3 linked regions of the Nothobranchius furzeri genome follow. The protein of the gene in region 1 purifies or fractionates together with the protein of each later gene. This does not show direct contact. Links are inferred from orthologs where the notes say so. Each region holds a gene or a part of one and is shown on either strand. Other genes may lie near its edges.

Evidence for each region. The genes of interacting proteins can lie anywhere in the genome.
Region 2: the proteins of prkaa1 (region 1) and fkbp5 purify together in Homo sapiens (affinity purification with mass spectrometry; 3 studies listed by BioGRID and IntAct, with this or other methods). This does not show direct contact. The link is inferred for Nothobranchius furzeri from reciprocal best matches to the Homo sapiens genes PRKAA1 and FKBP5.
Region 3: the proteins of prkaa1 (region 1) and pars2 purify together in Homo sapiens (affinity purification with mass spectrometry; 3 studies listed by BioGRID and IntAct, with this or other methods). This does not show direct contact. The link is inferred for Nothobranchius furzeri from reciprocal best matches to the Homo sapiens genes PRKAA1 and PARS2.

What each region holds. Positions count from the first base shown.
Region 1 is NC_091746.1:66,884,407-66,888,366, forward strand, and holds the start of prkaa1 (5'-AMP-activated protein kinase catalytic subunit alpha-1), read right to left. Parts: upstream 2,801-3,960; 5' UTR 2,450-2,800; coding exon 2,353-2,449; intron 1-2,352. UniProt on the Homo sapiens protein: Catalytic subunit of AMP-activated protein kinase (AMPK), an energy sensor protein kinase that plays a key role in regulating cellular energy metabolism.
Region 2 is NC_091743.1:66,802,749-66,807,042, reverse strand, and holds the start of fkbp5 (peptidyl-prolyl cis-trans isomerase FKBP5), read left to right. Parts: upstream 1-1,494; 5' UTR 1,495-1,726; intron 1,727-4,294. UniProt on the Homo sapiens protein: Immunophilin protein with PPIase and co-chaperone activities. Component of unligated steroid receptors heterocomplexes through interaction with heat-shock protein 90 (HSP90).
Region 3 is NC_091748.1:68,230,470-68,234,594, forward strand, and holds pars2 (probable proline--tRNA ligase, mitochondrial), read left to right. Parts: upstream 1-1,325; 5' UTR 1,326-1,509; coding exon 1,510-1,824; intron 1,825-2,602; coding exon 2,603-2,848; intron 2,849-2,915; coding exon 2,916-3,797; 3' UTR 3,798-4,101; downstream 4,102-4,125. UniProt on the Homo sapiens protein: Mitochondrial aminoacyl-tRNA synthetase that catalyzes the specific attachment of the proline amino acid (aa) to the homologous transfer RNA (tRNA), further participating in protein synthesis.

The sequences.
Region 1 (3,960 bases):
TCCTAATCTGTGTGTGCCACAGCTGAATTACCCTAATCTAAGTTCTTTCCCTTCCTTTCAATACCAGATTTAGCAAAAAACATTTAAGAGTTTTTAGTAACAATGTGTTAAACATACTGAGCAGTTTTGTTGTCATTAGCCAGTCCGTTTGTTTATTCGACTTTCTGACACAAAGAACATATTTGCACCAAATCAGCAACACAAGATGGAGAACACGAGCTTGTGATTGGTTAGGACAACACTTTCGTCAACAGCACCGCTGTTGCCCTCTCAAAAAAATAAAGAGAGCCGAAGATATCTAGCGGAAGACATGGAGCAGCTTGAAGAATACCTCGTAGAAAAACTCAAAATATGAACGTTTTATTCACCCGTGACTGGAGGAGTAAAAGGATGCAAGCAATTTATTCGTGGACAGGAAGGAGGGGAAACGTGGGTTTAGAGGTGGTGAGTGCATGAAGAGGTGGAGGAGAATGACAGACATATTTGTCCGTGTTAAAAGGTTTCTGAAATATAAAAACACAATAGTAAATGCACGATCTTGGACCAGATGCATGACAGGATATCACAGAACAGCGCTACGCCTTCTGTTGTCCAGACGGGGAATTGATTTGCAACAGCCCCCATGAGACGGAGATGTCTCTTGTGTGGTTCCCTCCCTCGTGGAGCTGATGCAGAAGCATAAACTAGCCTTAAGACCCAATGCTCAGACTCTACATGTGGTAGCGACATGTCACACATAAAAACAAGCTAATAGTTTTTACACATGTCAGACTTTTGAATCCAAAAATCCACAGGACCCAGAGACTCTTGATTTTTTGTTGATGACTTTTGTTTCTCAAACTTTATCTGCAAAAAACGAATACAGACTATGTTGTTGACGTCTGTTGTCCTTTGGGCTTGCTGTAGAAAAACAAAGGGGGTTATGGGAGATGGAGAAGGAAGACGAATGAAAGGACGTAAACAATGTTTTTCTCGTATTTGACATAAACAGAGACAACGTACTTTCTTGACAATCTTCGCTGTTGTGTGTGGAGAAAAGTGAAAAAATAAAAACAAACAACATGTGTTGATGCATAATAAGCTCGGCAGCCATGCTGGCGCATGTTCTGGGTGAGCAGAGCTGCTTCAAGACTGCGAGACCCTCACGAGGGAGGAGCAAAATATCAAACATGTTTGATATTCATGCGACTGCGTGATTGCTGCTCAGGAGGTGTTAATCACCTCACATTACTCCCATACACTAGACAATACACGAACTTGCCCTGACCTAAAAGATTCTTGCATGAGAGAAAAATTGGCTCAAAACGGTCCAAAAATCACAGTGTACGCCCGGTTTTACTGTAATATTGTGGATTCCTTTTAGACTATGAATTAGAAATTTAAAAGAAAACAAATGGTCACGTGTGCATAAGCGCTTATTTATATGGCTCAAGTAAATTTTGCAGCCCTACACATATTATATTTAGCATGATGTTGAAAATGGCTCTTTCGGTCATAAAGGGTTTGAGCCTTTGAGCTAGATGGACGGTGGAAACCACTTAGGGGTTACTGAGCAGTAGCATTAGATTTTATCACCGGTGAAATATTAAATGTGCAGCACTCAGGCATCTTCACGGATCAGCAACTCCAGTGGACTGAGACGCTGTTTTCTCATCAACAACAAATAACATGAGTGGAGGAGAGTGATGAGTCACTGGAAACTAACTGTAAACAGAGCGAGTGGCTGTTCTGACAGAACAGGAGGGACAAAAGTCATGCTTCTGAAACAAAAATGTGTTCAAATGTAGGTTTAATTTAATGGTTTCAATCGGCACTTCCGGTCAAGGCGAGTGCTGATAAACCAAGCTAACGGTGCCCAAAACGCGAATCACCCTCTGACAACACGGGGAGTAAACGTGGGTGTTTGTCCAACTTTCTGTTTCAACACACCTGAATGCGTAAATATTTCCTCAGCGTGATGGTCGAGCCTGATGGCGGATTTTGTTTACCAATATATATTTTTTGTGGAAGCAGGGGAACGGAAATGAACACACGTCTTTTTAGCCACAGGCGCAAACACCAGCCACAGGAGGTTCACTCGGGTCTTGACAGAGACTTTTGGCTCGCAGGCCAACATATTGCTGACAACGCTAACTGGTAATAAGAAATAAATAATCATCAGTTTAACAAGTTGCACCGTTTAGTGCAACCCAACAGTTCCAACTCGTTATGGCAAAGAAGACAAACTGAGTGTGGCTGCATACATTCCAGGTCTGGCGACAACTTTAGCTTTGAGACTAGGCTACATTAGCAGCTAAGCTAAAAGCGCTATCATCTTGGGTGGGCAGGATGTACTCTGCATGTCGGACCTACCTTTAACCTTTCCAAACGTCCCGACTCCAAGCGTGTCCCCGAGAATGTAATGTCCTATTTTGACTCTTCCTTCATGTTTTTGTTTTTCCGTCGCCATCTTCCCGCAGTGGCCTTTCTGCGGGGTTAGCTAGCTGCAGGCGGACACAGACCGAACTCAGCTGTGTGCGGCTCTCTAGCGGCTCGGCTCCGTACGGCGAAAGTGGGACGACGCGCCCCGGCGTCTGCGTGATTCGTCAAAACCACACGAGACGTTGCGTTCACGTAACACAGAAAGCTCGCAAATATTAGCATCTAAGAAAAACAATGCGAGGAGCTCGTTTTCATGATCCTCTGACAATAGTAACGGAGGAAATAGTAACGTCATTTTAAAAGTATGCTTTGAAATGTAATGAAGTAATCATAAAAACAAATATGATTTATTCAAGTATTTATTTTGTAATCTTGTATAACCGGAAGATGTAATCCATCACTTTATGCAATTGCTAAAAAGACCCTTAATATCAATAGAAATTTCTGTATACTAAATAAAGTACATGATAAAAATGTGTTAAAAATTCAAGCAAATTACATCTGTTATTTGCACGATGGGCATGTGTTCTGAGCAAAATATTTCAATAAACAGGAAGTGTTTACTATTGGTTTAGGGAAAACTGGACCGCAATTCGCATTTATCTAATAAAAGTTTATGAGTCATGTCACAAAATAGTCACTTTCCCAGGTGTCCTGCAAAAATTGGCTGAACAAAAAGTTATTAATTACTATCTGGTTAAATCTATTTTAATTGATTGTGGCGCCCATTTGATAAACCTAGAGAAAATATATCAGTAAACAGCTTTAACAGGATTCACAACAAAGGCATGCATGTGAGTAAACCAGACTTTATTATAAAGCAATAGAAATCTGTGTTGACACAGAAAGCACCCAGGCTGGATGACGTTCAGCTTTGTGTAAACAATGAACGCAAGTGCTGAACTTAAATGCTGAACACTTTATTTAAACTCCATTATTACACAGCAAAGAACAGAAAAACATTTCAAAATGAACCAGAGCTACTAATCCAGTACATCATATTTCAACAGTCAGAGCAGGAAACAAACCAACATTCATCAGTTTAAATTTGACACAATCCACACACCTGCTAATGAAAATCTACAATCATTATTTCAAATATTAATTCTTTTTTGACACAGTCCTGCTCAGATGTGTCCAGGTTGCATCTTGCTGTGCATTATAAAAATCTCCAAAGGTTAGAAATAAAAAGCAAATTGTTTACTCAGCAAAATGTGTTTTGAAGATACACGGATTCACACGCAAAATGTTTCACACTGAAATATTTAAGAGGTTAAAAACTGAAAATGAGTGACCACATTTTTGAAAGACTGTGAGGCTCAATGCATCTTTAAAAAGGACTAACATCACCATGAAAGATGTTTTATATGCTCATCTATTTTATACTCACAATTGAATACGGATATATATATGTAACCCCAACCCTAACCCTATATATATATATATATATATATATATATATATATATATATATATATATGTATATATATATCATGTAATATATTTTTCTTGATATATTTCAATGATTTTATTTAAGTT
Region 2 (4,294 bases), on another chromosome or scaffold:
AATTTTCCTTGAAATGATATGGCTTGCAAATATGAGATCATAAAATATTAAACCTTATGAAAGAGAGTCTCATATAACACCACCTGAACAAAGTGTCATTATGATGTTATGTAACTACAAGAGAAATAAAAATCCATGGAACAATGTGCTCACTGTAAAGTGAAATTACTCTGCTGCGGATGCAAGAGTCGATGCATTCATATTTACTGAAATTTAAAAGTAAATTCAGAAACGTACGTTTAGAAATCTTGCATATTACCTGATGGGTTCATCTTTTTACCTTTCATGCTGAGTTTAGGGCAGTTTAATCCATAATTATTTTCTAGAAGCTTTTTAATTATATTTCATTGCATAGTCAATTGGATGGTTACTTTTCAATAATGAACTCAATAGCTTCAAAATCCAATTACGTATTAACTAGAAGTATAAAGTTAGCATGTAACATAACTTATTCTTAGTGTAAGGTGACAACAAATGGAAAAGATAGCCTGGTGAATGTTAAATTACTTTAAATAGTATTTAATTAGTTCCTGGGTGGAGAATATAAAATTACATTGAACCTCAGCATCCTACTTCTTGGCAGGGATAATCTGTCACTCCCTAATACAAAATGCTAATCTGACATAATAACTTAATCAGGCAGAAAAAGTTAAGTTACGACTCAAGTTATTGGTTTAACAAAACAGTTCCTGTTGGCATTCTCTTTTAAAGTCCTAATTTAGGAAATGAAAGCACAAATAAACGTATTGCTGCACCGGTTAGGCTTTTATTCTCAATAGCTAGCTAAAAACACCTGTGCAAGTTTAGCCTTAAGCTAATATAGCTGGTGCAACTCCCCCTTTCGTGTTCAAATAACAGCCATAACAGAGCATTAATTAATAATAACAGCACATCATCGCACAAAACAGCTACTAAAGTCGCGCTTTTGTCGGTAACTACAGCGTTAAATAAAAAAAACTAAGATAAAGGCGGAGGAGTTTTTACCGTCTCCCTCAGAAACAGTAATCCGTCAAACCGCGCGACTCATCGGACTCAGAGGTGTACGTCAGTGTCGGTGCTTTGACACGTCTCCGTGTTGCTACGGGGTTCGGTTCGGCTGGGACTGACAGAGAGACGGAGACAGCTCCTCTTGTTGTTGATATGTGTTGTCCGCTGAGCGGAGAGAGGAGGAACACGCTGCAGCGGAACAGGCTGTTCCCGCCCGGCCTGGCACGGAACGGGTTACAGGTCAGGGTGTCTGTTGGAACACTGTGTTCTCATCAGCAGCGGCACAGCTACAGTACAGCCGGAACATTGTGTTACTTTGTGGCTGCTTTCCAAGACCTGCCCTTAATTTTACACTAAACACCCTCCCCACAACTCATCTCGTTTCTGCTTACCCCCGCCACCCCCCTCCACCCCCCTCGCCTCCTCCTGCCTCTGTCATTTTTGTGCGAGTTTGTCTCTGTAGTATCTCCTCAGTGTCATTTTGGAGTCAGAGCTGCGTGTTGCGACCGCACCGGTACTTTCATCACTGAGGAGAGGAAGAAGGAGCAGAGGGGGGTGGGATAAAGACAAAAAGAGTCCATAGCTAAGAACCACATGGGCAGAACACTTAGTACCCTGCTGGATCTGAGATAGGAAGACGCATTTTCTTAGAAATAAACATCCACCGAGTGAATTTGCAGCTGTTCGTCACCGGCAACCATCTGGGGGAAGAAAATAAAAAAGCGGACCTCAAAACATCGTAAGTCTCTTTTAATACACAGATCTTCATCTTTCTGAAATACTTTATTTAATTTAGGAGTTAATTAAAATAATCTTTTTTTTTAAATTTCGTTCACGCCTGGCTGAGTTAAACGGAACTTGTGCACAGTCTCACTAAAGAATAAGAATATACAAGATTATTTAAAGGAGGGGGGAAAGTGAGCCAGGATGGATAGGTTTTGGCTGAATGTGGTCCTTAGCCTTCTTGTGAAGGTCCCAGAAGAGGTTGGTGGATGTTCTCATCCAGGATCCCTCTAGGCTTAGGTGTCCCTTTCATAAATTACAGGGGTTTTGTGCAGGCTACTTCTGAGAATTATAACTCAACTCGACTCTGAGCTGATTCATTACAACCTGGTTACATATTACTGAGCAGCTTGTGAAGAACTCTGAATGTTTAGGTTGACACCAGGTGCTGAGGGGATAAGCACAAAAATGGTCCTCCAAAATTAGTTCCAGCCAGGACTATTCTATAAGTATCTAATAAAAATGCACACATTTTCATCAGCTCAGGTGAAAAAAAATAAAGTTTATTTGTCAGTTAACAACTTATAAAAGTTAAGGTCAGGCATAATTTTTGCCTGGAAAACAAATAGATTTTAATGATTACAGCATTTTTATGATAGACATCTATAAATATCAAGTTATTATCATAATCTTAGCACCATAACAGGTTAATAAAAGAAGTTTAGTTTTTTTGGGGTGTCTGTGTGTGCAGGATTATCAGTGAGTCTCCACTTGTTAGGTATGAATCAGCAACAGAGTACGGATGTGAAACAGAATGTACAGATACACTGTGTGCGTCTCTGGATGTGGTCTTTGGCTCATTGTGTTCTGTTCCTGCATTCCTCCGCAGGGCATCTTAGTTATTGGTACATGAAGCCTACGTACCATCTTATCAGTGCTGGAACAATTTACACCCTGTTTCTGCTTTTGCAAAGTGTCAATATTTTATTTACGAGGAAGAGATGACAGAAATACACCAAAAAGAAGGGCGAGATCACAATGATGGGATGAGTAACTTTTTACTTGTCTGCAATCATCAGTGATGATAAGCAGTCACAACGCTGGTTTATCTCAGTTTAAATCATGTGGGGGGTAAAAAATGTGAGTGTATGCAAAATTTACCAAATTAGAACAGCTTATTTGCCTTTTTTTTGTTAAATAAAATTAAAGCTGGTGCATCAGGGGGGTTTAAGGTTGATGAACGCTGTTGGGCTTTGCCGGTGGCGAACTGTGAATAGAAGGAACATTGTGTTCAGACACACACATGGACACACGAGTTACATGAGTTACATCTGAAATGACATCCGTGGAATTTAAAAGACACGGGGAAGGGTGGAGCTGCTGATGGACGGACGTTTTGGGACATTTTTCAGGATAAAAACTGTATTTTTCCATACAAGTACAAAAGTGAGGATGCGGGGTAAAGTGATGCCAGTCAAGACGGCTCTTTGTGGTTTCAACCTGTGTGATGAGGAGCATGGAAAGTGCCTCAGCATCATAAGAAATCATTTAGAAACGATTCAAATTCTATTTCCTGATCAGTATGCAAAACAAGGATTCTGCTGCTCAGCCTGTCGTTTAATAATTAGAGGTTTATTTACATGGTCTTCTTTTTATGCAGAGAAGCATCTTTTTGCTCATTCGTGATATCTGCAAAGAATGACGGACCCTTCTGTGTAATTAACGGAAAATAAATCTACTAATAAGAGCTGCTTTTATTAAAGCGAGTTCACAGTAAAGTCTGTGTTCGCGAGGCTGCTTTCTGATCAGTTTTGCCTTTACTGGAGATATTTCTTATCTTAGTTTATAAAGCTTCTTATAAACATAAAAACCAAAGCCTTTAACATGTTTGTTGGTCCAAGAGTCAAGTGTTTAAGTCATTAGAGTCACATCTTGTCTCTCTTTGTCCGCCAGATGAAAGAACACAAAGTTCTTTTCCTTTGTTTAGATTTCCAGACTTCTCTCTTTAGAGCAAAAACAATAAAAATGATTATTAAACTGAGAAAAATTTCTTTCTACCAGATGATGTGCAAGTATACACCTATGTTGAGTTTTAAAACGTTTTTTAAGAGAGAATTATTTGGTGATTGTGGTACTTGAGAAAAACAAACAAACAAAAAAAAAAAACCAATACTGGTAAATGCCACTTTTATTTGTTTTGTTTCAACTTTGACCGCAGTAACGTTCCTACGATCCAAAGCAGCTGAGCTCTGATGAAATGTGTTAATGTCTCAGCTGATTATAACCATCCACCAGTGTTTGCCAGCATGCTTACCATAGCTGCGTTACATTTTCCTCTTCTTTGTACAATGTCAAGGTAGTTACGTCAGGGGTGACTTTCTTAGATGGGAGTAAAATGGAGCGAATGGACGATGATTGCTGCTGTGATTAAAAAGTCAACAAGCTTTAAAGGTGACATGTTATTCCAGTTTTTATTGCTCTGGCAAAGCTTCTGTTGATTTTTCCTTTTTCCACATGGATGTGCGAGATGCTGGCAGCAGATTTCTGCTCGCCTGTTGGGCTATATACTGAACATTTTTGGTAC
Region 3 (4,125 bases), on another chromosome or scaffold:
AGGGTGGCCGAACTCAGCCTTAGAGATAGGGTGAGGAGCTCAGACATTCGGGAGGGACTCGGAGTAGAACCGCTGCTCCTCCGGATCGAAAGGAGTCAGTTGAGGTGGTTTGGGCACCTGGCTAGGAAGCCTCCTGGATGCCTCCCCGGGGAGGTGTTTCGGGCATGTCCTGCCAGCAGGAGGCCCCCTAGTCAACCTAGGACACTTTGGAGAAGTTACATCTCCATTCTGGTCTGGGAACACCTTGGGGTCCTGCCGGAGGAGCTGGTGAAGGTGGCCGGGGAGAGGACGGTCTGGCGCTCCCAAGTTGGGATGCTGCCCCCGCAACCCGGACCGGATAAGCGGAGGAAGACAACGACGAGGACGATTACAATGAATCTAGAGTTGTAACTTTTATACTGCAAAGTAGTGTGTGATTAGTCAAGGTTAGATAAGTAATCCTGCTATGAGTTGCTGTACATTTGCATCACGTGAGCTATTCATTTGTTATGTTTCGGTATGAGTTAATAATTTTTTCTTTGTAGTTGTTTTTAAAGCGACTGATTGTCAGACACTTTTTTAGTTCTTTGTCCGATGAGTTCCAAAGTTTAACACCTTTTATTGATAAGCTCATTTGTTTCAGCGTTGTTCTACAAAATATTTGTTGAAAATCTCATTGTTGTCTTTGTGGTTGCTCTGTTTGAAATACTTATGACTGTCATTTGGTGGTTTGTATTTGACCTTGTATATGACCAACAGAGTGGAGAGGTTTACTTTGTCTTCAAATTTCAATATGTTTGACTGGATAAACAGTTCATTGGTATGTTCTCTGTAATGTTTTTTATGAATGATTCTGATTTCTCTTTTTTGTAAAATGACTATAGGTTTGGTATTGGTTTTATATGTGCTGCCCCATATTTCCACACAGTAAGTCAGATATGGTGTTTAGTTTTCTTTAGTATCGATATATTTTTGCATTTATTTTTTGTTTTTTGTATTTTATATGGTGTTTCCAGGATAGTTTGTGATCAAGTATTACTCCTAACCTTATTGATTACATTTCCATTGATTGATATATTTTGCCCTTCTTCTTTGATATAAAATTTTTGAGATTTGATTAGTTTGAGGAAATAGAACCCTAATTTGTAATTGTGTTGTTTTATAACACGGGAGAGAATATAGAATACAGAAATGTGCTATTACGTTAAAAAACACGCTTGACCCATTTCTGTTCCTGTTTACGCCCTGCCTGCAGGTGGCGCTGTGACATTCTCAAGCTCTGGTGCACAGCAAATGAAAACCGGAAGCGGAGCTTACTTTAACACGGACTGTGTTTGTAGTTTACAGCCGTCGTTTGGCATTCTCTTTCATGAATTTGTTTTAACTTAAGAAACCACACAGTCGTTGTCTCCATGTGCCTTCGGTTTTTTTTTTATTATTTTGTTTCAGCGCTGGTATCGTTACCTGTACTAACTTAATAAGCTAACATTTGTAGATTACTGGACTTTTGCACACCACTTGAACGTCTTGATGGAGCCAGCGACCCACCAGACCTGGAGGAGATCCTTTTATTACCTCCACGGAGCTTTTATTCTTCCAAAAAGGTTCCAGTCAGGTCAGGCTGAGCACGCAGCTGTCTCTGCGTCCCCTCGTGTCCGTCCGAGGCTCCTGGTGTCTCGTCTGTACCAGCCCTCGAACCTGCGTGATGTGGGTCAGGAGAGCCGGCTGGCGGGGCAGATGACCTGTAAGAGCCAGAGACTCATGCAGCAGGCTGGGCTCATCCATCCATCCAACCCAGGGTGCTACTACTACCTTCCTGCCGCCGTGCGCTCCATGGAGAAGCTGGTGGGTTTTCATTTGCATAACAAAATGTTTTTGAGCAACTGTTTCTGTGGGTTTTATCGTGCTTTTGTGCGTAAAAATAAAAATTAAAAAATTCTGAGGTCTGAGCTCTAAATTAGCTTTTGTTCTGTAATAAAGTAATATCCTAAATGCTAGCTCCTCAGGAGGGAGGGAGCTGGTGCCTAGTCATCTGGCATGATGTGGGGGACACTCAGGACAAGTCTCCAGTCAGTCACAGGGACGTAAAGTCACATTGTATCACATCTGGGGACAATTGTCTCAAAAGTGAGAAAACATGGCAACGTTATGCAGCAAGGCCCAGCTAGGATTCAAACCTGCAACCTCCTTGCTGCAAGGCAACAGTTGTACCAATTGCTACAACTATAAAAGAAGCTACATTTCCAAACACAATAAAGCAGGTCGTGTTGAATATTGACATCAAAACAGAACTTTTTGGCATGAAGTTTTGTTTGAATGGAGCCCGATGAGGACGTTCAGTAAGATGATGACATCTCAACGGTAAAGTGTGGATTTGAAAAGTTATCTGCACGTTTTAACATAATTAAAGGAAATGTATTCTGTGTTTGGTATGAAGAATAACTATTTAAACATCACCACTAGACTCTGGAAGAAATAACAATAACAGAAAATGCGATTAAGTGTCCAAACATTGACAATCCAGTTTATGTTTTCAAGTAAAAAAATAAATTACTGCTGTAACAGAGAATAATTGTATTTATTTGGTTGTTATTCAATTATAACTGGAGTTTTTATTCAACAGATTAAAGTGATTGACCAGGAGATGCATGAGATTGGTGGACAGAAGCTAGACATGCCTAGTTTATGCTCAGCTGATCTCTGGAAAGCCAGTGAGCGCTGGGATTTGATGGGAAAGGAGCTGTTCCGTCTGAAAGACCGCCACAGGGCAGACTACTGCTTAGGTCCCACCCATGAGGAGGCAGTGACGACCCTTGTCGCTCATCAGACGACTCTGTCCTACAAACAGCTGCCTCTGCTTCTTTACCAAGTAAGCCTCCAGCTTGTTACTGTCACTAGCTGTGGGTTTTTTACTGAGATTTCTTCTTCAAATCCAGATCACCAGGAAGTTCAGAGATGAACCCAAGCCAAGGTTTGGCCTTCTGCGAGGGAGAGAGTTCTACATGAAGGACATGTACTCATTTGATGTTAGCGAAGAAGCTGCGAACCAGACGTACGAGTCTGTGTGTGAAGCATACTCTCGACTCTTTGCCAGGTTGAGTCTGCGTTGCGTTCAGGTGCAGGCAGACACGGGAAACATCGGCGGTACTCTCTCACATGAGTTTCAGCTGCCGGCAGACATTGGTGAGGACCATCTGCTGCTCTGTGGAAGCTGCTCCTTCTCCGCTAATGCGGAGACTTTGTCATCAGGCCGAACCGACTGCCCACAGTGCAACACTGGCTCACTGGTAGAATCAAAGGGTATAGAAGTAGGTCACACCTTTTATTTGGGTAAAAAGTACTCCCATATATTCAAAGCCACCTTCAGCAGTGCCCAGAACAAGCCTGCTACTGCAGAGATGGGCTGCTACGGTCTTGGGGTGACGCGCATTCTCGCTGCAGCCATCGAGGTGATGTCAACAGAGGAAGAGATCCGCTGGCCGGGTCTTATCGCTCCATATCAAGTTTGTGTGTTGCCCCCTAAGAAGGGCAGTAGGGTAGATAAGGCGGCAGTCTTTGCAGAAGAACTGGTTCAGACTCTGGGAGAAGCTGTTCCTCATCTGAGAGGTGAAGTTGTTCTTGATGACCGCACACACATGACCATTGGAAAGCGGCTGAAGGATGCTAATAAACTGGGCTACCCTTATGTCATCGTAGTAGGACAGGTGGCTTTAGAGGAAAATCCAAAGATTGAGGTGGTGTGTCAGCAGACGGGTGAGACTATGTTCCTCAGTAAGGATGGACTCCTGGATCTACTGGGAAGAGTGGAAACTGTGTAACAAAACTTTAACAGCTGATCCTGTAAGAATTGTCATGATTGTTTATTTTGATGGTTGAAGTCCAAAGAATACTAAAGACTTTGTCTAGACATTACATAGGTTTTATTCACAAACGAGTAAATTTGCTGTTAAAAATGGCTTGATAAGGTCTCTGGGATTGATTAATGCTTTTTTTTCTTATATGCTCAATAAGAAGAGAAATAAAGGCACAGCTTTATAGTTTTACATTTTTTTTTCTTCCCGGTACCGGTTGCTTGTTTAAATGTATTTCTGAAATAAAGAAATATGTAGGAGCTCCACAAAAGAGGTGTTTTATTATTTAGCCTTG